Anolis sagrei: one gene and its partners. The protein of the gene in region 1 purifies or fractionates together with the protein of each later gene. This does not show direct contact. Links are inferred from orthologs where the notes say so. Each region holds a gene or a part of one and is shown in the gene's direction. Other genes may lie near its edges.

The links.
Region 2: the proteins of MAP3K14 (region 1) and TIMM13 purify together in Homo sapiens (affinity purification with mass spectrometry; 3 studies listed by BioGRID and IntAct, with this or other methods). This does not show direct contact. The link is inferred for Anolis sagrei from reciprocal best matches to the Homo sapiens genes MAP3K14 and TIMM13.
Region 3: the proteins of MAP3K14 (region 1) and CAD purify together in Homo sapiens (affinity purification with mass spectrometry; 3 studies listed by BioGRID and IntAct, with this or other methods). This does not show direct contact. The link is inferred for Anolis sagrei from reciprocal best matches to the Homo sapiens genes MAP3K14 and CAD.
Region 4: the proteins of MAP3K14 (region 1) and NFKB2 purify together in Homo sapiens (affinity purification with mass spectrometry; 6 studies listed by BioGRID and IntAct, with this or other methods). This does not show direct contact. The link is inferred for Anolis sagrei from reciprocal best matches to the Homo sapiens genes MAP3K14 and NFKB2.

The regions. Positions count from the first base shown.
Region 1 is NC_090026.1:46,369,317-46,376,152, reverse strand, and holds the start of MAP3K14 (mitogen-activated protein kinase kinase kinase 14), read left to right. Parts: upstream 1-3,812; 5' UTR 3,813-3,901; intron 3,902-6,836.
Region 2 is NC_090034.1:62,746,115-62,753,641, reverse strand, and holds the start of TIMM13 (mitochondrial import inner membrane translocase subunit Tim13), read left to right. Parts: upstream 1-4,519; 5' UTR 4,520-4,563; coding exon 4,564-4,659; intron 4,660-7,527. UniProt on the Homo sapiens protein: Mitochondrial intermembrane chaperone that participates in the import and insertion of some multi-pass transmembrane proteins into the mitochondrial inner membrane.
Region 3 is NC_090021.1:519,529-527,196, reverse strand, and holds the start of CAD (multifunctional protein CAD), read left to right. Parts: upstream 1-4,656; 5' UTR 4,657-4,770; coding exon 4,771-4,885; intron 4,886-7,668. Other genes in the region: ATRAID (all-trans retinoic acid-induced differentiation factor), read left to right, coding at 1,203-1,307. UniProt on the Homo sapiens protein: Multifunctional protein that encodes the first 3 enzymatic activities of the de novo pyrimidine pathway: carbamoylphosphate synthetase (CPSase; EC 6.3.5.5), aspartate transcarbamylase (ATCase; EC 2.1.3.2) and dihydroorotase (DHOase; EC 3.5.2.3).
Region 4 is NC_090023.1:147,141,006-147,148,523, reverse strand, and holds the start of NFKB2 (nuclear factor NF-kappa-B p100 subunit), read left to right. Parts: upstream 1-4,504; 5' UTR 4,505-4,828; coding exon 4,829-4,852; intron 4,853-7,518. UniProt on the Homo sapiens protein: NF-kappa-B is a pleiotropic transcription factor present in almost all cell types and is the endpoint of a series of signal transduction events that are initiated by a vast array of stimuli related to many biological processes such as inflammation, immunity, differentiation, cell growth, tumorigenesis and apoptosis.

The DNA.
Region 1 (6,836 bases):
TTCAATAGCCTGCAGCTCCACTTCTGTCAACCACCTCCACCAAGTCTGGCCTCCTTAATGAGAGCATTCAACACACACACACTCAACTTGGTTGCTTCACTACATCGGCTATTGCTGCAAGTAATGACAGTGTGAATAAATTGTCAATATTTGCTTGAGATAGTGCTTACAGTTCTGGAGGGACTCTTCATTTTTTTGCATCTCATAGACTTAGCACGGGGATATGGTTAACCAGTTAAAATTCATGAGTAAACCAGGTTTTTAAAAAAAATCTGAAACATTTCGGGGGGGGGGGTTGAACCCCTAAAACCACCCCCTCGCTACAGGCCTGCAAGACACCTAACAACCTAATGTATGTCCTCCACTCAAAAAAATAGATTTTGTCATTTGGGAATTGTCGTTGCTGGGATTTATAGTTTACCTACAATCAAAGAGCATTCTGAACTCCACCAATGATGGAATTGGGCCAAACTTAGCACACAGGGCTCCCATGACCAACAGAAAAAAACTGGAAGGGTTTGGTGGACATTGACCTTGAAATATAGTTCACCCACATCCAGAGAGCACTGTGGACTCAAACAATGATGGATCTGGACCAAACTTGGCACGAATATTCCATATGCCCAAATATGAACACAGATGGAGTTTGGAGGAAATAGACCTTGACATTGGGATTTGTAGTTACTGGGATTTATAGTTCACTACTATTAAAGAGCATTCTGAAACCCACGAACGACAGAATTGGGGCAAACTTCCCACACAGAACCCCCATGACCAACAGAAAATACTTAAGGCCATCCAGTCCAACTCTCTTCATCAGGGCAAGAAAATGTAATCAGAGCCCTCCTGACAAAGAGCCATCCAGTCATAGATATAGATAGATAGATATGATTCACACACACACAGATATAGTATCATAGATTTGAAAGAGACCCTTAAAGGACAATGATATGTTGCATATTCCAGAGTAGGCAAACCAGACACTCTCCACATCAACACTGACAAAGAAACAACAAGAAATACTGTTTACTCACAAGCATAAAGGAATTACGTATATTAGAAACCAACACTTTCTCATTACTTTATTTTCCAGATCACCAGACTGGGCCACAGCAACGCGTGGAAGGGGACCGCTATTGTTTAAAATTTCCAGTTAGGGGTTAAACTGAGGCAGAGGCTAGATCTACACTGCCATATAAAATCCAGATTACCTGCTTTGAACTGGATTATATGGCAGTGTAGACCCATATAATCCAGTTCAAAGTAGAAAATCTGGATTATCTGATTTGATAATCTGGATTATATGGCAGTGTAGAAGGAGCCTCACCAAGGTACAACTCCCAGGATCCCATAGCACGGAGCTATTGCAGCCAAGGTGGAATCAAACTGCGTTAATTCTATAGTGCAGAGTTTTATAAGGTGGGTTTGTGCATGCAGTTTAAGGAAAAATAGTTACACTCAGAGACACCAGACAAAACTATTTCAAATATTTAGAGCCTCTTCCTGAGCGGAGAGGACTTTAGAGGAAATCACGGGTGGTCCAGTAGCCAATCAAGAAGCAGAAGCTTTTCGGAAGGTCATGTGGGGGCGGAAGAGGCCCACGGAGGAAAGTTTGGTGTGCGTGGATGACGTCACCTTCTTGCCTGGGAAGAGGCCCGCGCATGCGCAGTTGTATATAGTAGTTTTACAGTGTCCAAAATGTTTTGAGAGATCACAGAAGCTATGGTAATCACTTGAAAGCCAATTAAATATATTCAAGAGCTAGTATATGTATGTGTACCACACACACACATATATGCAATAATCATAGTTAATTTTTCGATTTTATATTTCCATTAGAAGATGCAAATCCAGGGAAAGCTGGGTACCTATGGTACCCTTCAATTAAAGTTTTAGTTTAATTGAGGTGGCACAGTGGGTTAAACCCCTGTGCTGGCAGGACTGAAGACCGACAGGTTGCAGGTTCAAATCCGGGGAGAGGCGGATGAGCTCCCTCTATCAGCTCCAGCTCCTCATGCGGGTACATAAGAGAAGCCTCCCACAAGGATTATAGAAAACATCAAATCATCCAGGCGTCCCCTGGGCAACGTCCTTGCAGACGTTGGCCAATTCTCTCACACCAGAAGCTACTTGCAGTTTCTCAAGTCGCTCCTGACACGACAAAAAAAAAAGTTTTAGTTCTCAGCCTCTCAGCACAGATGAATACAGGCAAATTATTTTCAAAACGAGTAGATTCGTGTTATCTCAAACCCCATGGGTATTTTAATGTGGATATTGAAGGTTATGTGTGCCAGGTTAGGTTCATCAAGCCTATCTATTGACTTTTATATATCACTAGCCGTCCCCTGCCACACGTTGCTGTGGCCCAGTCTGGTGACCTGGAAAATAAAGTAATGAGAAAGTGTTGGTTTCTAATATATGTAATTCCTTTATGCTTGTGAGTAAACAGTATTTCTTGTTGTTTCTTTGTCAGTGTTGATGTAGAGATTGTCTGGTTTGCCCACCCTGGAATATGCAACATATCATAGTCCTTCTTTAAGGGTCTCTTTCAAATCTATGATACTATATCTGTGTGTGAGAGAGAGAGAATCATATCTATTTATCTATATTTATGATTGGGTGGCTCTTTGTCAGGAGGGCTCTGATTACATTTTCTTGCCCTGGTGAAGGGAGTTGGACTGGATGGTCTTAAGTATTTTCTGTCGGTCATGGGAGTTCTGTGTGGGAAGTTTGCCCCATTTCTGTTGTTTGTGAGTTTCAGAATGCTCTTTAATTGTAGTGAACTATAAATCCCAGGAACTACAAATCCCAAATGTCAAGGTCTATTTCCTCCAAACTTCATCTGTGTTCATATTGGGCATATGAAATATTTGTGTCAAGTTTGGTCCAGATCCATCATTGTTTGAGTCCACAGTGCTCTCTGGATGTAGGTGAACTACAACTCCCAAACTCAAGGTTAATGCCCACCAAACCCTTTCAGTGTGTTCTGTTGGTCATGGAAGTCCTGTATGCCATGTTTGGTTGAATTCCATCATTGGTGGAGTTCAGAATGCTCTTTGATTGTAGGTGAACTATAAATCCCAGCAACTACAACTCCCAAATGTCAAGGTCTATTTCCCTTAAACTCCACCTGTGTTCATATTTGGGCATATGGAATATTCGTGCCAAGTTTGGTCCAGATCCATCTTTGTTTGAGTCCACAGTGCTCTCTGGATGTAGGTGAGCTACAACTCCCAAACTCAAGGTCAATGCCCACCAAACCCTTCCAGTATTTTCTGTTGGCCATGGGAGTTCTGTGTGCCAAGTTTGGTTCAATTCCATCGTTGATTGAGTTCAGAATGCTCTTGATTGTCGGTGAACTATAAATCCCAGCAACTACAACTCCCAAATGACAAAATCATAATTTTTGAGTGATGGTCACTCCTTGTGTTGTGAGACGTTTTGTTGCCAAATTTGGTGTGATTTCGTTCATTGGTTCTTTTGTTTTTAAGGTACTCATTATGCACAGAGCATTTTTATAGATAGATAGATAGATAGATAGATAGATAGATAGATAGATAGATAGATAGATAGATAGATAGATAGATGTCTGCCTAGCCTACAATGTACATCAGTAAGGCTTTCTGGAGAAAAGGGGCGTGGCCTCCTCCTCCTCCAGCTCCCCCGCCTTTTCATCTCCCACGTTCTCCCGCCTAGACTGAGGCCAGACGGGGAAAGCAGCCATGAGGAGGCGTGGCTTCCCGGAAATGCCAGCCGCCGATTGGTCGACACTCCCAAATAAGGCGTGGCCAGTGGCCTCGCGCCCCCTCCTCGAAGTTTTTCGGGGCAGTCTGTGCCGAGCGGTGAGGGAGGCCGGAAGTGGCCGCAGCAGCAGCAGCGACTCTTTTCTTCCCCTTGACAGGTGGGTTTCTTCGCTTGGCTGGTTGAGGCCTTGTGCGTGTGGGGAGCCTTTGTCTGAACGGAGCGGGGGCGGCCGCCCTTTTCCCTCCCTCCCTTCCTACCTCTTAAAGTTGGCCTTTATCCCTATCTCGGTTCTTTCTCAACGACTTCCTCAAACTTAATTTCGGGTTTTATGTTCAGTTAGACTCCCAGGGCTTTTTGGCTGAGCTTTGGCGTGTGCAACCGTCTCTTCAGCGTCCCCACAGAGAGGAGAAGAGAAAGGAGTCAGAATTAAAGAGTTTGAGGGCTAGCTCAAGTCCCCCCAGCATCCTGTATTAGTTCACATCTCATCAGTCTCTAGTCCTCATTACGAGAAATAGTTACTTTTGTTCCCTGAGGAGCCAAGTGGCATCATCTCCCCATCTTCCAGGTGCCTTTTCCCATTCATTTCCACCCCCAGAAGAACTCCCAAAAGTTTCCCTCTGAGGGTGCATCTACACCAGGAGTCCTCAAAGTTTTTAAACAGAGGGCCAGGTCACAGTCCCTCAAACTGTTGGAGGGCTGGATTATAATTTGGAAAAAAATTGAATCAATTCCTATGCACACTGCACATATCTTATTTGTAGTGCAAAAAACACGTAAAACAATACAATGATTAAAGTGAAGACAATTTTTAACAAATATAAACTTATTAGTATTTCAATGGAAAGTACGGATCTGCTTTTGGCTGATGAAGTAGGGTTGTTGTTGTTTTGTTGTGTTGACCCTGAGTGAGGGCTGGGTAAATGACCTTGGGCCTTAGTTTGAGGACCCCTGATCTACACTGTAGAATGAATGTAGTTTGACACCAATTTAATTGCCATGACTCAGTGCTATGAGAGTTGTAGTTCCACAAGGTCTTTGGCCTTCTTCTACTCTGTCGGAGAAGGCCAAAGACCTTGTGGAACTACAATTCCTAGGAACTACGACTCCTAGGATTCCATAGCACTGAACCAGAGCAGTTAAAGTGGGGTGAAACTGCATTATTTCTTCAGTGTAGATCAGGCATGCAGCTGGGGGGGGGGCTTGCCCCCCCCCGAAATTCTCATGATTGTCCGCGAAAAGGCCTTACTGGTGCATTATTTAAACTGTTACGTTTATTCATATCATGCTCTGATCACCATGCTCAATATATCCCATATGCATGGGGGTATTGGGGTAACGATACAAAAGGTTTGCTAGCGTTTGCTTGCCCCCCCCCCCCCGAAATTCTCATGATTGTCCGCGAAAAGGCCTTACTGGTGCATTATTTAAACTGTTACGTTTATTCATATCATGCTCTGATCACCATGCTCAATATATCCCATATGCATGGGGGTATTGGGGTAACGATACAAAAGGTTTGCTAGCGTAGACCCTCTTTCACTCAGACTCAGCCCCCCCCCCCCCCGAATTGAAATCCTGGCTAGGGGCCTGGTGTAGATGTACCCAGAGTTACTCAACTGAGGGCAGTACCACACGGCCATATAACCCACAATATCAAGTCAAAAACCCCACAGTATCTGCTTTGAACTGTGTTGTCTGAGTCCACACTACCATATATTCCAGTTCAAAGCAGAAAATGTGGAATTTTATTCAACTCTGTGCCAGGGGCCTGAGGGCCCTTTTGGACAGGCCCTATATCCTAGGATCTGATCTCAGGTTTTCTACATTAAACTGGATTATATGAGTTTGCACTGGGATAAACAGAAAACCTGGGATCAGATCCTGGGATATAGATCCTGTCCGAGCCCAAGTGAGGCTTTCAGTGTACAATCGACCTGCCTGGTTTATGGGCCATTATGGGAAGGGATCCAGCCAAAACATGAGATGATTAGTGGATGGAGAGAAGAGAGTGATGTGTTAAAAACTCTATAAAGTTCCAAAGGTAGCAATTGAGATCATGAACTGTCAACTAAACCTTTCACTCGTTTTTGCTCATTTTCTTGTCTCTTTAATATCTACTTTCATGGGTACATCTTTAATTCAATCATGGGCAAACTTTGACTCTCCAGGTGTTTTGGACTTCAACTCCCACAATTCCTAACAGAATTTTTTGGAGTTGAAGTCCAAAGCACCCGGAGAGCTGAAGTTTGATCATGCATGATCTATATCCTGTAATTAATGCAGTTTGATCCCACTTGGTTCATATGGTTCAATGGTTGACATGGTTTAATGCTATTTAATCATAGGAGAGGTAGTTTTACAAAGCCTTTATTATTTTCGGCCAAAGGATGTGGATGCCTCACCAAACTGCGTATTCCATAGTATTGAGCCATAGCAGTTAAAGTGGTGTCAAAGTGTGTTAGCTCTACAATACAGATCCAACCCAAGTCATCTTCAGTTTATGGAGACCCAACTTCCAAGTCACTGTCATCAACAGCCCTTGTAAATTCAGGTCTGTTGCTTTTCTGATTGAGTGTTTCTCATCTCTGTTCTAGGTGATTTTATTTCTTTTGTAAACTGCCCTGGTTTTCCTTCCTTCCTTTTTTGGTTAAAGTGGGAAAGATGAACCTGCTACACAATACTTTGTGATTGATATTGTGGGGAGGTGCCAATCTAAAAGCATCCTTGGCCTCAAGAGGCCAAGCCAGTGCAATTGAGCTGCTTTATAAAAACGCACATTATTTTCGGCTGTCCCTAAAGTAGTGCCAAATGCGTTGGAGCACTTTTGGGCAGACAGCTCCTGGCTATCAGTCAAAAGGCCTGCTGCAGCTGTTCCATCACTTCCTCCTTAACAGATCTTTTTGTGGAAAGAAAATAAAGCAAGGAGCAAGGGTGAGACAATTATAAATGGAAGATGACATCATTGTGACCCCCTGTACAACTCTGAGAATGAGACAAGGGGCCTGAACACAAACAGAGGCCCACTCGAATGAAAGAAAGTGGTTTCATAACCCCTTTCAACCATGAAGCTTATGGGATTACATTGGGAAAGT
Region 2 (7,527 bases), on another chromosome or scaffold:
GTGGCCCCCAACAAAGACAGATAAAGACCAAACTTGGCACACAGAACCCCTATAACCCACTCTACATCCTACTGCAGATTGGAGGAGGATGGGCCACGGATGATGGGAACTGAAGTACCTCCACTCACTTCCCAAGACTGCTGAGACCCTCATCCAATGAGTGATCAAGACCAAACTTGGCACAGAGTCCCCATTAACCCTTTACAAACTGGTGAGGTTTGGGGGAGGATGGGCAATGGATGATGGGATTTGTAGTACAAGCCCTTTGGGCCTCATACACCTCTGTGCCCCCCAACAAAGACCGATAAAGACCAAACGTGGCACACTGAGCCCCCATTACCCATTCTACATCCTGGTGCAGTTTGGAGGGGGATGGACTGCGGATGATGGAACTTGCAGTACCTAAGCACACTTGCTGAGACCACTGCAACCCTCACCAATGACTGATCTAGACCAAGCTTGGCACACAGAGCCACCATGATCCACTCTACATCCTGTTGTGGTTTGAAGGAGGATTCACCATGGATGATGGGACCTTCACACACTTCATGAGAGCACTGTGACCCTCGCCAATGACATAGCAAGATCGAACTTGGCACACAGAGCCCCCATAACCCACTCTAAATCCTGGAGTGGTGTGAAACACTTTAGACCGTGGATGATGGGAATTACAGTATCGTCACTCATTTCTTCAGACCATTCCGATCTACACCAATGATTGAGCAAGATCGAACTTGGCATAAAGAGATTCTTGGCATAAAGAGACCCGCTCTACATCCTTGTGTGGTTTGTGGGACAATGCACCATGGATGATGGGGTTTGCAGTACCTTCATTCACTTCCTGAGACCACTGCGACCCACACCAATGACCGATCAAGAAGAAACTTGACACACAAAGCCCCTATGACCCACCCACCATCCTGGTGCAGTGTGGAGCAGGATGTACTATGGACGATGGGACTTGCATATGAGAGTTGTAGTTCACCCGCACCCACTGAACCACCAGACATTAGATCTAGACTAAAACTACAGAACAGAAAAACAATGGCTATCTCAAATAATCCGGGCAGTGCCGGGTCCTCAAGCTAGATAGATAGATAGATAGATAGATAGATAGATAGATAGATATTAGGCTTGCTTGATCAAGAAAAAAATTGGTTCTAAACTCATTTCGTATCTAGGGGGCGCCCACATTTCTAATCTGAAAGGATTTCTGAAATTTCAGATTTCATATTTTCGATATTTATGAAATTTCATAAATATACGAATCGATTCGTTAATGGCGGACACGATTGCGCAATACGTGAAAAAACCTCCAAACGGGACAGGGGGACCTTCTGAAGCTTCCCTCTCCCTCTGTTGTTGACTGTTGGTGTGATAAAACTAACAACAACTATATATATTATATTATATTACATTATATTACATTATATTATCAAAAAACTGTCCCAAGCCCATAGCACGTCCAAAAGCAGAAGATTAAGTCAAAATGAGATGTCCATCCAAAAATAATCCGAAGTCAGAATGGAGTCAGCACTTACAGGAATCCAGTCTTTAAAACACTTTAAAACGGCTTGTCTTAACCCAGCTAATTGTCTTCCTGGCCCAGCAGCTTAAAACTATTACTATATATATTATTATTATTATTATTATTATTATTATATTATATTATTATTATTATTATTATTATTATTATTATTATATAGATAGATATAGAATATAGATATAGATAGAAGATATAGATATAGATAGATCCAGATTTTTATTATTCTATTTATTCTTCTGTTGGGTTGCTGTGGGTTTTTTGGGATGCCTGGCCATGTTCCAGAAGCATTCTCTCCTGACATTTTGCTCACATCTCTAGCAGGCATCCTTAAAGATTGTGTGGTCTATTGGAAACACAGTAAGTGGAGTTTATATTCCTGTGGAACAGGCCCATAGTCAGGATTTCGATTCGGGGGGGGGGGGGGGGCTGAGTTTGTTTCGAGAGGGGGCTGAGTCTGAGTGAAAGAGGGTCTACCCTAGCAAACTTTTTGTATCGTTACCCCAATACCCCCATGCATATGGGATATATTGAGTATGGTGATCAGATCATGATATGAATAAACATAACAGTTTAAATAATGTACCAGTAAGGCCTTTTCGCGGACCATCATGAGAATTTGGGGGGGGGGGGCTGAAGCCCGCCAAGCGCCCCCCCCCCCCCCCCCCCCCCCCCAGGCTACATGCCTGCTGTGAAATTATGTCCAGGGTGGGATTACAAACTCTTGTCTGTTTGATTAGCACTGAATGGCCTTGCACCTTCAAAGCCTGGCTGCTTCTTGCCTGGGGAATCTTTTGTTGGGAGGTATGAGCTGGCCCTGATTGATTCCCGTCTGGAATTCCCCTGTTTTTTGAGTGTTGCTCCTTATTTTCTATCCTGATTTTGGAGTTTTTTAATATCTGAAGCCAGGTGTAGTCATTTTCATGGTTTCCGCCTTTCTACTGAAATTGTCCACATGCTTCTTGTGGATTTCAATGGCTTCTCTGCGTCGTCTGACTTGGTGGTTGTGAGAATGGACCAGCATTTCTGTGTTCTCAAATAATAATACTCTGTATTGTCGAAGGCTTTCATGGCTGGAATCACTCGGTTCTTGTAGGTTTTTTTGGGCTATATGGCCATGTTCTAGAGGCATTTCTCCTGACGTTTCGCCTGCATCTATGGCAAGCATCCTCAGAGGTAGTGAGGTCTGTTGGAAATAGGAAAATGGGGTTATATATCTGTGGAATGACTGGGGTGGGGCAAAGAGCTCTTCTATGCTGGAGCTAGGTGTGTATGTTTCAACTGGCCACCTTCATTAGCATTTGAAGGCCTGGCTGAGCCTGGGGGAATCTTTTGTTGAGAAGTGTTAAGATGTGCCTGGTTGTTTCCTCTCTGCTGTTTTGCTGTTGTAATTTTAGAGTTTTTTTAAATACTGGTAGCCAGATTTTGTCCATTTTCATGGTCTCCTCCTTTCTGCTGAAATTGTCCACATGCTTGTGGATTTCAATGGCTTCTCTGTGTAGTCTGACATGGTGGTTGTTGGTGTGGTCCAGCATTTCTGTGTTCTCAAATAATATGCTGTGTCCAGGCTGGTTCATCAGGTGCTCTGCTATGGCTGACTTCTCTGGTTGAAGTAGTCTGCAGTGCCTTTCATGTTCCTTGATTCGTGTTTGGGCGCTGCTGCATTTGGTGGTCCCTATGTAGACTTGTCCACAGCTGCATGGTACACGGTAGACTCCTGCAGAGGTGAGAGGATCCCTCTTGTCCTTTGCTGAACGGAGCATTTGTTGGATTTTCTTGTGTCTGTAGATTCAAAGTGCTGGTGTTAACCTATAAAGCCCTAAACGACTCCGGCCCTGTTTACCTCTCCGAACGTATTCTCCCCTATGAACCATCAAGATTATTAAGATCGTCTGGAGAGGCCCTGCTCTCGGTCCCACCGGCCTCACAAGCGTGTCTGGTGGGGGCGAGGGACAGGGCCTTCTCGGTGGTGGCCCCTCGACTCTGGAACTCTCAGCCACTGGAGATCAGAACCGCCCCGTCTATCCTGACATTTAGGAAACAGGTGAAGACTTGGTTATGGAGACAAGCATTCGAAGAGTGAGCCAACACCCTGAGATATGGATGGAGGATGATGAGCAACGATTTTAGTGTGACGACTGACCATTGTAGTTATTGATTGTAATTGCTGTTTTAATGTTTTACTGTAATATGTATTATGATGTTTTTTTGATTGTATGTGATATTATGGTTGGAAACCGGTCTGAGTCCCTCAAGAGAGGTGAGAAGGCCGGTATACAAAACTTTTAAATAAATAATAAATAAATAGATTGTTTGTATGTTGTGTTTCCTTATCAGCTGTCAGCGGTTCCCTTGATGTATGGCAGGAACACTTTTCTGTGGACAATTTCAACAGAAAGGAAGAGACCATGAAAATGAACAAAATCTGGCTACCAGTATTAAAAAAACTCTAAAATTATAACAGCAAAACAGCAGAGAGGAAACAATCAGGCACATCTTAACACCTCTCAACAAAAGATTCCCCCAGGCTCAGACAGGCCTTCAAATGCTAATGAAGGTGGTCAGTTGAAACATTCACACCTAGCTCCAGCAGGGAAGAGATCTTTGCCCCACCCCAGCCATTCCACAGATATATAAACCCATTGTCCTAATTCCAACAGACCTCACTACCTCTGAGGATGCTTGCCATAGATGCAGGCGAAACGTCAGGAGAAAAATGCCTCTAGAACATGGCCATATAGCCCGAAAAAACCCACAAGAACCTAGTGATTCCAGCCATGAAAGCCTTCGACGATACATTAATAATACTCTGTTCCCAGGTTGGTTCATCAGGTGGTCTGCTATGGCTGACTTCTCTGGCTGCCCTTTTTTTTGGCAGTCCTTTGCGGGGCGAGGAGGGAGGGTAAATGTCGAAAAGCACCGGAAGTGTATAAAAGCGTCTTCGTACCCGTGCCTCTATGGTGTGGGAAAGTGGGCGGGGCCGGAAGAGGAAGTGTTTCCAGGGTCCATGCGCTGCAAAGATGGCGGCGGCGGGTGGTGGCGCGATGGACGCGGGGGCGCTGATGGAGCAGGTCAAGGTTCAGATCGCGGTGGCCAACGCACAGGAGTTACTGCAGGTCGGGGCCGCAAGGGAAGGTGGTGGTGGTGGTGGTGAGGGATTTCCGGGCCCCTTTCCCTCCTCGCTTCTCCTTCAGGGTTCAGTGGATTTTCAGTATTTTGCTGGAGGGTTCCTGCTCGAATCTTTTGCCTGTGGTTTATGGGGGTACCCCCCCCCCCGGTGGCGCAGTGGGTTAAAGCACTGAGCTGCTGAGCTTGTTGATCGAAAGGTCGCAGGTTCGATTCCGGGGAGCGGCGTGAGTTTCCCCTGTCAGCCCTAGCTTCTGCCAACCTAGCAGTTCGAAAAATGCAAATGTGAGTAGATCAATAGGTACCGCTCCGGCGGGAAGGTAACGGCGCTCCATGCAGTCATGCCGGCCACATGACCTTGGATGTGTCTACGGACAACGCTGGCTCTTCGGCTTAGAAGTGGAGATGAGCACCACACCCCAGAGTCAGACATGACTGGACTTAATGTCAGGGGACTACCTTTACCTTTACCTATAAAGCCCTAATCCCTTCTAATCAAGGTGAAAGAAGAAAGCGCAAAAGCCGGCTTGCAGCTAAACATAAAAAAAACCAAGATTATGGCAACAAGAATGATTGACAACTGGGAAATAGAGGGAGAAATCGTGGAGGCCGTGACAGACTTTGTATTTCTAGGCGCAAAGATTACTGCAGATGCAGACTGTGGCCAGGAAATCAGAAGACGCTTCCTTCTTGGGAGGAGAGCAATGTCCAATCTCGATAAAATAGTAAAGAGTAGAGACATCAGACTGGCAACAAAGATCCGCCTAGTCAAAGCCATGGTATTCCCTGTAGTAACCTACGGATGTGAGAGCTGGACCTTAGGGAAGGCTGAGCGAAGGAAGATCGATGCTTTTGAGCTGTGGTGTTGGAGGAAAGTGCTGAGAGTGCCTTGGACTGCGAGAAGATCCAACCAGTCCATCCTCCAGGAAATAAAGCCCGACTGCTCATTGGAGGGAAGGATACTAGAGACAAAGTTGAAGTACTTTGGCCACATCATGAGGAGACAGCAAAGCCTAGAGAAGACAATGATGCTGGGGAAAGTGGAAGGCAAAAGGAAGAGGGGCCGACCAAGGGCAAGATGGATGGATGGCATCCTTGAAGTGACTGGACTGACCTTGAAGGAGCTGGGGGTGGTGACAGCCGACAGGGAGCTCTGGCGTGGGCTGGTCCATGAGGTCACGAAGAGTCGGAGACGACTGAACGAATGAACAACAACAAGCTGGAGATGTTGGACAGATTTTACAAGCAAACCATAAGATTGACCATGAAGTTAATTTTCTCCCTGTAAGGCTCCTTCTTTGGAAGCTTTTAAACAGAGGCTGGATGGCCATCTGTCAGGGGTGATTTGAATGCAATATTCCTGCTTCTTGGCAGAATGGGGTTGGACTGGATGGCCCATGAGGTCTCTTCAAACTCTTCAATTCTATGATTCTATGGGGGTGGTGACAGCCAACAGGGAGCTCTGGCGTGGGCTGGTCCATGAGGTCACGAAGAGTCGGAGACGACTGAACGAATGAACAACAACAAATAAAGCCCTAAAGCAGCATTTCGCAACCTGGGGTTAGAGACCCCAGGGGGAGGGGGTTTCAGAGGGGTCGCCAAAGACCATCAGAAAACACTTATTTCTGGTGGTCTTGGGAACCCCTTTGGCAGAGAGTTCTGCCTGTCCTTTTCTTCCTTTTTGGAAACAGATGGTGAAACAGGGTGCTCACCAATGCTTCCTCTTCATCCTGGAAAGAAGTGACGAGCAGAGTGCCGCAGGGTTCCGTCCTGGGCCCGGTCCTGTTCAACATCTTTATTAATGACTTAGATCAGGGGTCCTCAAATTAAAGCCCGGGGGCCAGATGCGGCCCTCCAAGGTCATTTACCCGGCCCTTGCTCAGGGTCATCCTAAGTCTGAAACAACTTGAAAGCACACAAGAATAACAACAATCCTATCTCATCAGCCAAAAGTAGGCCCACACTTCCCCATTGAAATACTAATAATTTTATATTTGTTGAAATTGTTCTTCATTTCCATTATTGTATTGTTTTTAAGTGTTTTTGCACTACAAATAAGATATGTGCAGTGTGCATAGGAATTCTTTCATTTTTTTTCAAATTATAATCCGGCCCTCCAACAGTTTGAGGGACTGTTACCTGGCCCTCTGTTTTAAAAGTTTGTGGACCCCTGACTTAGATGAAGGGCTAGAAGGCATGATCATCAAGTTTGCAGACGACACAAAATGGGGAGGGATAGCCAATACTCCAGAGGACAGGAGCAGAATTCAAAACGATCTTGACAGATTAGAACAGGGGTCCTCAAACTAAGGCCCGGGGGCCGGATGCGGCCCTCCAAGGTCATTTACCCGGCCCTCGCTCAGGGTTAACCTAAGTCTGAAATTACTTGAAAGCACATAACAACAACAACAATCCTATCTCATCAGCCAAAAGCAGGCCCACACTTCCCCATTGAAATACTAATAATTTTATATTTGTTGAAATTGTTCTTCATTTCCATTATTGTATTGTTTTTAAGTGTTTTTGCACTACAAATAAGATATGTGCAGTGTGCATAGGAATTCTTTCATTTTTTTTTTCAAATTATAATCCGGCCCTCCAACAGTTTGAGGGACTGTTACCTGGCCCTCTGTTTTAAAGGTTTGTGGCCCCCTGGTCTATTGTGTTATTTATGATGCCTGATTGATTCGTTTCAGCCAAGGTGTTGAATTTGTTTTAATGTTTGTTTTTGTTATTGCACATGGCCTTGAATGTTTTCCATTTTTTGCCTTTGGGAACCGCCCTGAGTTCCTTCGGGGGGAGAGGTTAAAAATAAAATATATTATGGTTACTATTATTCACGCCTCCCCTGCCTTCCC
Region 3 (7,668 bases), on another chromosome or scaffold:
TTTAATTATAGTCCAGCAAGCAGGTAGTTAGCCATTGCAGGCCTGGGTCTTTGGCTGGTGTTTCCAAAATTATGAGCTCCATACATCCATCCATTCTTCCATTCATTTATCAGAGTTTACTTTTCATTTCTCATTAGCAACTTTTAATTATAGTCCAGCAAGCAGGTAGTTAGCCATTGCAGGCCTGGGTCTTTGGCTGGTGTTTCCAAAATTATGAGCTCCATACATCCATCCATTCTTCCATTCATTTATCAGAGTTTACTTTTCATTCCCCTTTAGCAATTTTTAATTATAGTTCAGCAAGCAGATAGTTAGTATTGAAGGCCTGGGTCTTTGACTGGTGTTTCCCAAATTATGAGCTCCATACATCCATCCATTTTTCCATTCATTTATCAGAATTTACTTTTCATTTCTCATTAGCAACTTTTAATTATAGTCCAGCAAGCGGGTAGTTAGTCATTGCAGGCCTGGATCTTTGACTGGTGTTCCCAAAATTATGACCTCCATACATCCATCCATTTTTCCATTCATTTATCAGAGTTTACTTTTCATTTCTCATTAGCAACTTTTAATTATAGTCCAGTAAGCGGGTAGTTAGCCATTGCAGGCCTGGGTCTTTGACTGGTGTGTTTCCAAAATTATGAGCTCCATACATCCATCCATTCTTCCATTCATTTATCAGAGTTTACTTTTCATTTCTCATTAGCAATTTTTAATTATTGTCAGCAAGCAGCTAGTTAGCCATTGCAGGCCCGGGTCTTTTACTGGTGTTTCCCAAATTATGAGCTCCATACATCCATCCATTTTTCCATTCATTTATCAGAATTTACTTTTCATTTCTCATTAGGAACTTTTAATTATAGTCCAGTAAGCAGATAGTTAGCCATTGCAGGCCTGGGTCTTTGACGGGTGTTTCCCAAATTATGACCTCCATACATCCATCCATTTATCAGAGTTTACTTTTCATTTCTCATTAGCAACTTTTAATTATAGTCCAGTAAGTGGGTAGTTTGTCATTGCAGGTCTGGGTCTTTTACTGGTGTTTGCAAAATTATGACCTCCATACATCCTTCCATTCATTCTCATACACATTATATTAAATCCATATTTATTTATGATATTTTTGTGACACCCCCACCTAGAGACGGCACTGCTATTGACTGACACCCCCCCCCCCCCCGCCACGGCTTTTTCGCTTCCAGGGCTCCTTCCCGTACCTGCTCTTCTTTGGCTCTTTGGGGGCCGTGACGACCGCCCTCTCCGTCCTGCTCTGGACCACTCAGCGGCGCAAGGCCAAGACCTCCTAGGCCGGAATGACCCTCAGCCAACTCCAAGCAGATGAGGATGATGATGAGGATGATGATGAGGAAGCAGCAAAGGAGAGGAGGCTTTGTTACGTAGCCCTTGCCTTAAGTCTCCCCAGGCAATTTGGGGAGGATTCCTTGGACCTGGACTGGGACAGCCAAGCAGGGGACTTTGCAACAACAACCACAACAACAACCACAACAACAACAACCAGGATCCAAGCTTATGGGGCTGGACTTGATTCCTACCCCAAGTGGGTGAGGTCTGCCTCTTGGCTTTGACTAATAATAAAGGGGCTCGTAACGAACTGGTGCTATTGGGGTGCAAATTGGGATGTTCCCTGTTTGGACCTGATCCAGCAACTTCCAGAACCGGAGGGACTTCCTGCTGCAGGATTTCTTCTATCTATTTGAATTTATGGAGCGAGACCCAAATAGCTTGCAATAATGTAAAAGGAAATGAAGGGCAAGGCATTTGTTTACAAGAAATGAGAAGGAATTACGCAATTGATAATAATAACAATAAAATAATAATAAGAATAATAAGAATAATAATTTTTTTTTCTGTATCGGAAGTGACTTCAGAAACTGCAAGTTGCTTCTGGTGTGAGAGAATTGGCTGTCTGCAAGGATGTTGCCCGGATGTTTTGATGTTTTACCATCCTGTGGGAGGCTTCTCTCATATCCCTGCCTGGGTAGCTGGAGCTGACAGACGGGAGCTCATCCGTGCTCTCCCCAGGTTCAAACTGCCAGCTTATTGGTCAGCAGTCCTGCTGGCACAAGGGTTTAACCCATTACATCACTGGGGACTCCATAATAATAATAATAATTATTATTATTATTATTATTATTATTTATACCATCTCCCCAATGGGGACTCGGAGCGGCTTACATGGGGCCAAGCCTGAACAACATATTATATCAAGATAAAACCAAAACATAAGCAACAAGCAACATCATCAGGATTACATTTAAAATAATTCAGTAACGAAATAGCATTACAATAAACAAAAAGGTGCAGCGGAAGAGCCAGGTTTTTAGATGGCCACCCAGCCTCTGTTTCAAAGCCTCCATAGGCTTTTTACCATTCACCATTATTTCTTTGGTTGGTTCTGTTTTCACAGATTATGTGATTATTATGTGAAATTCACTTGTTTGGTCATCTTAGCCCAATGACACCTCTGCTTCAGTGGAATTCACTGTCAAATGCCAAAAGAACTATGAAAACACACAAAAATATATTCTGTGTCAGAGGGTTCCATGGCTGAACGGCTCTCACAGGAAGTTCTTCCTGATGTTCAGGGGAAATCTTCCCCTCCTGTCATTTGAAGCCATGGCTCTATTGTGTCCTAGTCTCCAGAGAAGCACAATTCAAGAGAGATATTGACCCTAAGCTGGAATACTGTGTCCAGAGAAAGAGGGCGACTCAAATGATCAAGGGTCTGGGGAACAAGCCCTATGAGGAGCGGCTTAAGGAGCTGGGCATGCTTAGCCTGAAGAAGAGAAGGCTGAGAGGAGATATGATGAGGGCCATATGTGAGAGGAAGCCACAGGGAGGAGGAGGAGGGAGCAAGCTTGTTTATTGTTTCCTTGAAGACTAGGACACAATGGAGCCATGGCTTCAAACTACAAGAGAGGAGTTTCCACCTGAACAACTCTTCCAACTCTTGGATTCTATGACCCTATGATTCAATCCTCCTCTTTCCCAAACTCAGCCCCCATAAATTCATTTAAAAAAAAAAAAAAAAACGCGAAACAGTGGGAGAACACGAGGAAGAACTTCCTGACTGTGAGGGCCGTTCAGCAGTGGAACTCTCTGTCCCGTAGGGAGTGTGGTGGAGACTCCTTCTTTGAAAGCTTTTAAACAGGGGCTGGATGGCCATCTGTCAGGGGTGCTTTGAATGCAACATTCCTGCTTCTTGGCAGAATGGGGTTGGACTGGATGATGGCCCAGGAGGTCTCTTCCAACTCTAGGATTCTAGGATTCTATGATCGTGGGCCCTCATCCAGTCCAACCCCATTCTGCCAAGAAGCAGGAATATTGCATTCAAAGCACCCCCGACAGATGGCTATCCAGCCTCTGTTTAAAAGCTTCCAAAGAAGGAGCCTCCACCACACTCCGGGGCAGAGAGTTCCACTGCTGAACGGCTCTCACAGTCAGGAACTTCTTCCTCGTGTTCAGATGGAATCTCCTCTCTTGTAGTTTGAAGCCATTGTTCCCTTGCGTCCTAGTCTCCAAGGAAGCAGAAAGGAAGCTTGCTCCCTCCTCTCCCTGTGGCTTCCTCTCACATATTTATACATGGCCCTCATCATATCTCCTCTCAGCCTTCTCTTCTTCAGTCTCAACATGCTCAGCTCCTTAAGCCGCTCCTCATAGGGCTTGTCCTCCATACCCTGGATCCTTTGTGTCTCTCCTCTACCTTCTCTTGGCTAACACATGCCCAGCAGCTCTTTGAGCTGCTCCTCATAGGGCTTGTTCCCCAGACCCTGGATCCTTTGTGTCTCTCCTCTGCCTTGTCTTGGCTGAACATGCCCGGCAGCTCTTTGAGCTGCTCCTCATAGGGTTTGTCTTCCATACCCTGGATCCTTTGTGTGTCTCGTCAGCCTTCTCTTGGTTAAAAATGCCTGGCATCTCTTTGAGCCGCTCCTCATAGGGTTTGTCCTCCATACCCTGGATCCTTTGTGTGTCTTGTCAGCCTTCTCTTGGCTAAACATGCCCAGCAGGTGTTTGAGCCGCTCCTCATCGGGCTTGTTCCCCAGGCCCTGGATCCTTTGTGCCTCTCCTCAGCCTTCTCTTGGCTAAACATGCCCAGCAGGTGTTTGAGCCGCTCCTCATAGGGCTTGTTCCCCAGACCCTGGATCCTTTGTGTCTCTCCTCATGCCCAGCCACTCTTTGAGCCGCTCCTCATAGGGCTTGTTCCCCAGACCCTGGATCCTTTGTGTCTCTCCTCATGCCCAGCTGCTCTTTGAGCCGCTCCTCATAGGGCTTGTTCCCCAGACCCTGGATCCTTTGTGTCTCTCCTCTGCCTTGTCTTGGCTAACACATGCCCAGCAGGTCTTTGAGCCGCTCCTCATAGGGCTTGTCCTCCATACCCTGTATCCTTTGAGACAGTATTCCAGCTGAGAGCCCACCCCTTCCTTCAGTTGTGGAGCCCAGATTGGGATTCCAGGTGTGAATGCAGTCTGTTCAACACCATAAGAATGATCAAGGGGAAGGTTGCAAAGGTGGGCTGTTTGGGAAGAACCCTGTCAGTAGGGGGCGTGGCTACACTCCCCTTGGCCCCGCCTCCTTGGGGGGCGTGTCCCCACCGGGTAGTCTCCGCCCAGTCTGGGTGAGTCATTTCCTCCTGCTGGGGCCCCGCCCCCTTTCCCAGCTCCTTCGCATCCGCAGCAGCAGCAGCAGCCTTGGCCCCGCCCCCTCCTTCCCCCTGCTCTCTCTCTCTCTCTCTCTCTCTCTCCTTGAGGCATGGAGACCACCCCCCTCTTCCTCCGGGGAGGCCTGAGCTTGGTCCTGGAAGATGGGACCGTCCTGCGAGGGAGGCCCTTCGGGGACACGCGCAGCCACGCCGCCGGGGAAGTCGGTGAGTCTTGAGGCAGAGACACCCCCCTCTCTCCCCCCCCCCCCCGCGGTAGAGAGTGCCTCTGAGCATGCACAGAGAGGGAGAGAGAGAGGGGGGGAGGGAGGGGAAGAGGAAAAGAGGGGAGCGCCTGGGTGCCCTTGAGGGGCCCTCCCCCCCTTCCAGGACACGTGTCCCTCGGGCCCCGCCCCCACCGACCTTTGGGGGTGGGGTGGGGTGGGGGGAGGAGGGCACGCGCCCGCCATGTGCTCCCCTGGGGGGGGAGGGGAGGAGGGGGAGAAGCCGGGGGGAGGACCCGCCCCCTGCACCCCCCCCCTTCGGATTTCCCTCCCTCCCTCCCTTCCTTCCTTCTTTCCATTCTTCTTCTATTCATCCTTTTCTTTCTTTTCTTCATTCATTCTTTCCTTCCTTTCTCCTCTTCTTCCATCCATTTTCCCTTCTTGCCATCCATCCTTCCACCTATCTTTTTCTTCCTTTCTCCCCTGGATTTCCCTCCCTTCCTTCCTTCTTTCCATTCTTCTTCCATCCATCCATCCCTCCTTTTCTTCCCTCCTCCTTTCTTCATTCATTCTTTCTTTCCTTTCTCCTTCCTTCTTTCCCGCCCCCTCCTCCCCTCCCCGGATTTCCCTCCCTCCCTTCTTTCCTTCCTTCCTTCCTTCCTTCTTTCCATTCTTCTTCCATCCATCCTTTTCTTTCTTTCTTCATTCATTCTTTCCTTCCTTCCTTTCTCCTTCCTTCTTTCCACTATACTTCCTCTTTCCTTCCTTCCTTCCTTCCATTTTCCCTTCTTGTCATCCATCCTTCCACCTGTCTTTTCCTTCCTTTCTCCCCTAGATTTCCCTCCCTCCCTTCCTTCAGTCCTCCTCTACTTCCTTTCTTCATTCTTTCCTTCTCTCCATTCTTCTTCCATCCATCCTTTTCTTCCTTCCTTCCTTCCTCCTTTCTTCATTCATTCTTTCCTTCCTTCCTTCCTTCCTTCTTTCAACTCTTCTTCCATCCATCTATACTTCCTCCTTCCTTCCATTTTCCCTTCTTGCCATCCATCCTTCCACTTAACTTTTTCATCCTTTCTTCCCTGGATTTCCCTCCCTCCTTTCCTTCCTTCCTTCCTTCCTTCCTTCCTTCCTTCCATCAGTCCTCCTCGACTTCCTTTCTTCATTCCTTCCTTCCATTCTTCTTCCATCCATCCATCCTTTTCTTCCTTCCTTCCTTTCTTCATTCATTCTTTCCTTTCTTCCTTCCTTCCATTTTCCCTTCTTGTCATCCATCCTTCCACCTATCTTTTCCTTCCTTTCTCCCCTGGATTTCCCTCCCTCCCTTCCTTCAGTCCTCCTCTACTTCCTTTCTTCATTCTTTCCTTCCTTTCATTCTTCTTCCATCCATCCATCCTTTTCTTCCTTCCTTCCTTCCTTCCTTTCTTCATTCATTCCTTCCTCCTTCCTTCTTTCCACTCTTCTTCCATCCATCCATCTGTACTTCCTCCTTCCTTCCATCCATTTTCCCTTCTTGCCATCCATCCTTCCACCTATCTTTTTCTTCCTTCCTTCCCTCTTTCCCTCTTTCCTTCTTTCCTTCCATCAGTCCTCCTTGACTTCCCTCCTTCTCTCTTTCCTTCCATTCTTCTTTCATCCATCTTTCCCTCCATCCATCGTTTCCTTCCCCCTTTCTTCATTCTTTCCTTCCTTCCTTCCATCCATTTTCCCTTCTTGCCATCCTTCCATGCATTTCCTTCCTTCCTTCCATCCATCCATCATCCTCCTTGACTTCCTTCCTTTCTTCCTCCTTCCTTCCTTCCATATTTCTTCCATCCACCCATATTTCCTTCCATCCACCCTTTTCTTCCTTCCTTCCTCCTTTCTTCATTCTTTCCTTCCTTCCATCCATTTTCCCTTCTTGAAATCCTTCCATCTATCCTTTCCTTCCTTCCTCCTTCCATCCCTCTATGCCAGGGGTCCCCAAACTACGGCCCGGGGGACAGATACGGCCTTCCAAGGTCATTTACGCAGCCCTCGCTCAGGGTCAACCTCAGTCTGAAATGACTTGAAAGCTCACAACAACAACAACAACAGCAACAACAACAGTCCCATCTCATCAGCCAAAAGCAGGCCCACACTTCCCATTGAGATACTAATAAGTTTATATATATTAAAACTGTTCCTTATTTTAATTATTGTATTGTTTCAAAGTGTTTTTTGCACCACAAATAAGAGATGTGTAATGTGCACAGGAATTCATGCATGTTTGTTTCCAATTATAATCCGGCCCTCCAACAGTTTGAGAGGCTGTGACCTGGCCCTCTGATTAAAAAGTTTGAAGACTCTATGCTTACACCTTTCCTTCCTTCCACCCATCGTTCCCTCCATCCTTCCTCCCCTCCTGCCATCAGTCCTCCTTGACTTCTTTCTTTCTTTCCTTCCTTCCTTCCTTCCATTCTTCGTCCAACCCTCTTTCCTTCCATCCATCCTTTCCTTAGTTTATTGACTCTTCTAAAGCCTTGGGTCATCATAAATGGTGCCAACTTCTGGGTGGGATGTATGCATTCGGGTTAGGGTTCCTTCTTTCTTTCTTTCTTTCTTTCTTTCTTTCCTTCCTTCCATCCATCCATCCATCCATCCTTTCTTTATTTTCAGAAAAAAACCATCTCTTTTGGCTTCCTCTCAAATACACTTTTTCCGCCCCGAGTCCCCTTTGGGGAGAGGGTGGCGGGGTATAAATAAAGATTATTATTATTATTATTATTTCTGTTTGATGGACCCTTCAAAAGCCTTGGAGGGTGTGGAGCGTCA
Region 4 (7,518 bases), on another chromosome or scaffold:
AATTATTCAACTTATGCTGATCAAATGCCAATATATCCTGACTTTTCACTTTACAAAACTAACAATCACTTGACTGATCTCTGGGTTGCCATCAAACCATAGGTATACCAAATAGCAATTTATGACGTGTTCTTTCATCTACATCTGTCAACACTTGACACGCTGCTTGCACACCTCGTGAGTGGCCCAAGACTTATCTTGATTGCCAAGCTTTACTTTAAAATATGCAAAATAGGGTTGCCAGACAAATGCGCCAATGTTTGTCTTTTGACTGAGAATAGTATAACAGCTACTGATAAACTGAATTAGGATTGTTTAGGCACTTAGGATGAGAAATAGCAGAGGCAGAAATTATCTTTAAGAAAGGAAATAGGTAAGCATGTGTGTAAATTAAAAAATGAATTCTACATTCTTGTATACAGATAGGAACTCAGACTACACTTTAGAATACGATTCACAATATAGAGCGGCACGCAACCTCTCACCACTATGTAAGTTTTTTGTGCCAGGAGTGACTTGAGAAACTGCAAGTCGCTTTCGGTGTGAGAGATTGACCGTTTGCAAGGACTTTGCCCAGGGGATGCCCAGATGTTTTACTATCCCATGGAAGATATAATTATGCAAGGAAATAGTTTCAGTTGTTAAGACTGAATAACATGCTGTCTCTGATCTGTTAGGAAAACAGATTTGCCAGTGCATAAAAACAGCAGAGCTTTAGAAGTGTTTTTCGGTTGCCCAAAAATATATAGACTCCCATAAAACAACTTGTTTTCTACCATGCACTCAAGAGACAAAAACAAAGTAGACTTTGATAAAAAAAATAACATATTTGGTTTACTCACAGCCTTCATGTGTCCAGCATACACAGGTACAAAACTTATCAGTCCAGTTTCAGGTGTGTTTGAGACAATTCTCTGTGCCATCCACAACATCTCTTACAACAAAACTGCTATCAACATAATCAAAAGGAGAGAGAAGAAAATGTATGTGTTCTGTCAGCTCCTTTTGTAACTTCTCAGGAACCATGATGGAAGCTGCATACCAGAACATGCAGGAAACAGCAACAGGGTCATAGATAAACATTACTAGAGAAGGCTTGAAGAAGGTTGTCATTTCCAACATAAAGAGGTACAAAAGGAGGGGGGACTTGGTGTGATGATGGAGTGCTCACAGGCTTGCTCTGGGATGTCATTCCATGTTTGACCTTGCTTTGAATTAAACTGGCATATACAGGCAGTCCCCAAGTTCCATTTTTAAGTGTAACACCAGCTATACACCCACCCACTCACACACAGTTACACAACTGTGTGTGTGTATACAAGCTTTGGATAGTATAGGGAAGGGTTAACACTCTTGTGTTTGCTTTTCTGTCTGTGTCCCTGTTCAGATTTCCCCTGAACAGGGACACAGATAGAAAAACAAACACCTGTGATAATTTGATTTTTTTAAAAAAAATTGGCTTGTGTGGAAATAAAGATTGGCAAGAAGGCTTCAGTGGAGACACCTTTTCGAGAAATTAATTTTTCCTTTCTAGAGGTAGATTTCCTCTCACTTCCTTGTTGTCTCATTGTTAGGGATTCCTCATCTTTGGAAGAGGAAGGGGAGCAGGGAAGTGCTCAGGAATTGGAGGGAGAAGACGAATCGGACGATGAGGTTTTGAAAGTGCCCACATTTCTAGAAAGACGAAAAGAGACAGAGTACAGACGGTGTTCAGCTAGAATAGCTGCTAAAAACGCTGAGCTAATTGGGAGATGCCCTAGCACCTCCTGCAACTCCTCCACAGTTAACTTTAAAGCAGCCACTTGTTGTTTTAAATCTTTGACCTCCTCCATGGCCAGACAGATTTATGGCTGGCTGAAAAGTTAAGGCTGTAAAAAATTAGGGCTGGTAACAATCTGACCTGAGTTGTCCTTCAAAAACAGGCTTTATACAATATTGAAAGTAAAAGAAAAATGCTTTACTTCAGCAGACACAAAGGATAGGAAAATTGAATAGTGCAAAAGAAAGCACGTCTTAATCCAAGACACAAATTAAAGTCTCTTACAAAGTCCCAAAAGAAACAGCAGTCTTCCTTCAGACAACGGGCAATGATCACGAAGTCCTTAGCAGCAGACACAAAGCAGGTTCCATTGGAGTGAAAACATCAGTATCAGGATCATTGTTACTAGCAAAAGCTGACTGCTCCTGCTTCTGATTTATAGCCCATGCAGGAGGTGCTAGGGCATCTCCCAATTAGCTCAGCATTTTTAGCAGCTATTCTAGCTGTGCTCTGTCTCTTTTCATCTCTCTAGAAATGTGGACACTTTCAAAATCTCATTGTCTGATTCTTCTTCTCCCTCCAATTCCTGAGCACTTCCCTTCTCTCCTTCTCCTTCTGAAGATGAGGAATCCCTAACACTCATCCCCATTCTTAACTAGGAGCCATTGCATGTCTGTAACTGCCTGTACATGCTTTAGAGAAGACTGTTCTGAATAGTAAGGTCCGTTTTGTTGTAGACACTAGTAGTCCATGCGCATAGTGCAACGAGCGCGTGCATCGTGTACCGGCATGCCTCGGGAACAACTGAGCTCAGTTTCTACTCTGTAGCTAACCTGTCCAGTCTCGATAAAATAGTGAAGAGTAGAGACATCAGACTGGCAACAAAGATCTGCCTAGTCAAAGCCATGATATTCCCTGTAGTCACCTATGGATGTGAGAGCTGGACCTTAGGGAAGGCTGAGCGAAGGAAGATCGATGCTTTTGAGCTGTGGTGTTGGAGGAAAGTGCTGAGAGTGCCTTGGACTGCGAGAAGATCCAACCAGTCCATCCTCCAGGAAATAAAGCCCGACTGCTCACTGGAGGGAAAGATACTAGAGACAAAGTTGAAGTACTTTGGCCACATCATGAGGAGACAGCAAAGCCTAGAGAAGACAATTATGCTGGGGAAAGTGGAAGGCAAAAGGAAGAGGGGCCGACCAAGGGTAAGATGGATGGATGGCATCCTTGAAGTGACTGGACTGACCTTGAAGGAGCTGGGGGTGGTAACGGCCGACAGGGAGCTCTGGCGTGGGCTGGTCCATGAGGTCACGAAGAGTCGGAGACGACTGAATGAATGAACAACAACAACAACAGCTAACCTGTACGGTTCTGTTCTGTGCTTTAAAAATGTTTAAGACTATCAACTCACCCTCCGCATGTGAGGTTCGCTCAGTGATACGGTTTTTGTCAGCAAGGAACCTGCCTGCTGCAGAAATTCATCGACAGATTTGTGAAGTGTACGGTGATACTGTTATGAGTGAAAGCAAAGTGCGTAAGTGGGTACGACAATTCAAAGATGGCCGTGACAATGTCCATGATGAGGACCGCTCTGGTCGCCCTTCTTTGATTACAGTGAACTCTTGGTTATCGGAGCAGGCGGCAAGTTTTTATGAAGAGGGTATGTTAAAATTGGTGCTTGGGAGGTATAAGTGTTTGAACAAACTTGGCAACTATGTTGAAAAATAGAGTGAAGTATGTACTTTCTGAAAACAAATTTACTTTTTTGAAATAAACTTTCGTTGTGTACTTATGTTCAAATGGACCTTACTTAAAAAATACCCCTCATAATATATAAACATGCTTACATGAATGGGTGCATGTGTTCCTTTCTTCTTGCCCAGTGACCTCCTACCTCAGGGCCCTTCCACACAGGCCTATATCCCAGAATATCAAGGCAGGAAATCCCATATTTATCAGAGTGCGGACTCAGGGCCCTTCCAAACAGGCCTATATCCCAGAATATCAAGGAAGGAAATTCCGTATTATCTGTGTGTGGACTCAGGACCCTTCTACACAGGGGCGGCTCAACCCATTACGCAAAGTAAGCATTTGCAGTATAGTTGATTTTGCCCAGGGGCGCTCTTGAGGCGCTCTTGGGGGAAAATAGACCTTGACTTATGCGAGTTGTAGTTACTGGGATGTATAGTTCACCTACAATCAAAGGGCATTCTGAACTCCATCAATGATGGAATTGAACCAAATATGGCACACAGAACTCCCATGGCGAACACAAAATATATATCAGTGATTGGTTGGAGGGGGGGACGCCAAAATACTGTTTGCTTACCATTGAAAATTACCTAGGGCTGCCTCTGCTTCTACACAGGCCTATATGCCAGAATATCAAGGCAGGAAATCCTATATTGTCTCAGTGCGGACTCAGGGCCCTTCCACACAGCCTATATCCCAGAATATCAAGGCAGGAAATCCCATATTATCTCTGTGTGGACTCAGATAACCCAGTTCAAAGCGGATATTGTGGGATTTCCTGCCTTGATATTCTGGGATATAGGCCTGTGTGGAAGGGCCCCTAGATTGACTTCCCTGCTTTTCAGGCTGAGGAGGAGGAGGGAGGGGCGAGAGGAAGGAGGGAGGGGGGAGAGGAGGGCGCGCGCCTTCCGTTGCCTGGGAAACCTGCGCCCGCCCCCTCTCTGCTGTCAGGGAGGAGGCCCCGCTTCCTTCATCCGGGCAGTCAGCTGATTGCGAGGAAGCCCTGCGCGAGGGAGGGGAAGGGGCGTGGCGCAGTGTCGGTCGCGAGGGGGCCACGCTGGGAGCTCCCCTCAAGGTGGTGTGGCTGGGGGCCTTGTCGCCCTCCCTCCCTCCCTGCCGCCTGAAAGAGTTGTGAGGGAAGAGAGGCGTGCCCTTCCTGCCTTCCCTCCCCTCCCTCTCCGTCTCCGCTGGGTTTCTAGGGACTTTCCAGAGGCGCTTCCTGGCCCGCCCCGTTTCCGCCCGCGGCTCCTTCCGAAGCCAGGGCAGGGCAAGGCAAGGCAAGGTGGCGGGCGGGCACTCTTCCTCCTATCCTTCCGCGCCATGGACTGCGAGGGGTACCGCTCGGTGAGTCTGAGGGGCCTGCGGGGGGCAGGGCTTTGCGGGGATCGGGGGGCAAACAAAGTGCTTGGGAGGCCCGGATGTGCCCTTGGCTCGCGCTGCTCCCGCGTGTCCCCCGGTGGGGGCCTCCCCGCCACCCCCCCTCCCATTGCCCTTTCCTGCTGTGAACGTGGGGGAGCCCCTCCCCGCCTCCTCCTCCCATGCTGGGCAAAATCCTTCCAAAGTTTGAAAGAAGTATCTGCCTTTTACAAAATTTTGTAAGCAACCCCCAAACTCTACTCACATTAACTTGCAAAACATGGGGTAGGAACCTGCTTCAGGAGAAATAAACTTAATTCCAAAGCAGTCCAAACTTGCTTACACACGGTGCCTAACTGACCAAGGTGAAGGAGCCACGGAAAGCCAGGGGCAGGCATGTAGCGGGGGGGGGGGGGGTGCTTGAGGGGCTTCAGCCCCCCCCCCCCCGAAATTATTTATTTACTTTATTTCTATACCGCTTTTCTCAGCCCTCAGGCGACTCAAAGCGGTGAACAACATCAGTACAAAATATCATAAAACAAATATAGGGCAATTAAAAACAATTATCACATAAAACATTAACATCAGTATAACAATCATTAGCACCTCAACAGTAAAATCAGAATCCAGTCTCGTCATTCATTATTCCGTATTCCTATATTCAATTACACTGTTTAATCAAATGCTTGTTCGAACAGCCAGGTCTTCACTTTCCTCCGAAACGCCAGCAGGGAGGGGACCAATCTGATATCTGCAGGCAGGGCGTTCCACAGCCGAGGGGCCACCACTGAGAAGGCCCTGTCTCTCGTCCCTGCCAAGCGCGCCTGTGATGCAGGCGGGACCGACAGCAGGGCCTCCCAGATGATCTTAGTGTCCTAGTCGGTTCATAGGAGGAGATGCGTGCGGAGAGGTAAGTAGGGCCAGAGCCATTTAGGACTTTATAGGCTACAGCCAGCACTTTGAATTGTGCCCGGTAGCAAACTGGCAGCCAGTGGAGCTGGTGCAACAGAGGAGTTGTGTGCTCCTTGGTGCCGCTCCTGTTAGCAACCTGGCTGCCGAGCACTGGACCATTTGAAGCTTCCGAGCAGTCTTCAAAGGCAACCCCACATAGAGAGCGTTGCAGTAGTCTATGCAGGATGTAACCAGAGCGTGGACTACCGTGGCCAAGTCAGACTTCCCAAGATACAGGCGCAGCTGGGTGGTCCGCGAGAAGGCCTTACTGATACATTATTTCAACTGTTATGTTTATTCATATCATGAACTGATCACCATGCTCAATATATCCCATATGCATGGGGCTTAAATTATTTCAACTGTTATATTTATTCATATCATGAACTGATCACCATGCTCAATATATCCCATATGCATGGGGCTATTGGGATAATGATACAAAAGGTTTGCTATGGTAGATCCTCAGTCCCTCCTTTGAATGAAACTCACCCCCCCAAATCAAAATCCTGGCAACGGGCATGGCCAGGGGTGTCCTGCCCATGTAGGGCCCCATCAGCCTTACGATCGCCTTCGTTGTCACTTCCATAGATGGAAAATCTGTGGATACAGGGGTCCGGGTATAATAGTTCTACATCAGGCACGGGCCAACTTTGGCCCTCCCTCTAGGTGTTTTTGGACTTCAACTCCCACAGTTTCCAAGCTGTTGGGAATTGTGGGAGTTTAAGTCCACCACTATGCTCTACATCAGGGGTCCTTGAATTTTTTAAACAGAGGGCCAGGTTAGAGTCCCTCAAGCTGTTGGAGGGCCAGATTATAATTTGGAAAAAAACATGAATGAATTCCTATGCACACTGCAGATATTTGATTTGTTGTGCAAAAAACACTTAAAATACAATAATTAAAATGAAGAACAATTTAAACAAATATAAACATATTAGTATTTCAATGGGAAGTGTGGACCTACTTTTGGCTGGTGAGATAGGGTTGTTGTTGTTGTTGTTGTTAGGGCTGTTGTTGTTGTTGTTGTGTGCATTCAAGTGGTTTCAGACTTAGGTTGACCCTGAGTGAGGGCTGGGTAAATGACCTTGGAGAGCCGTATCCGGCCCCTGGGCCTTAGTTTGAGGACCCCTGATCTACATAGTGGTGGGTGCTCCATAAGCCCCTTCCACATAGCTGTATAAAATCCCACATCTGCTTTGAATTTGGTTATATGGCAGTGTGGGTTCAGGCCCCTTCCACACAGCCATATAACCCACAATATGACAGGAGTATGGAAATATGAAGTAGTTAAAGATAATCTTGGGATCGATGTAAGACCTAATGTTTTATGGTATGTTGTGATTGTTATAATTTTGTAGTTTTAATGGTTTCAATCTATTTCTATATGTGGCTGATTTGATATGTGATGTTTTATATGTGTAAACCCCCGGTGGTGTAGTGGGTTAACCCTTGGGCTTCTGAACTTGCTGACTGAAAGATCAGTGGTTTGAATCAGGGCATTGGGGCGAGGCCTCCTGTTAGCCCCAGCTTCTGTCAACCTAGCAGTTTGAAAAAGTGCAAATGTGAGTAGATCAGTAGGTACCACTTCTACGGGAAGGTAATGGCACTCCAACCCCACATGACCTTAGAGGTGTCTATGAACAATGCCAGCTCCTTGGCTTAGAAATGGAGATTAGCACCACTGCCCAGAATTGGACACG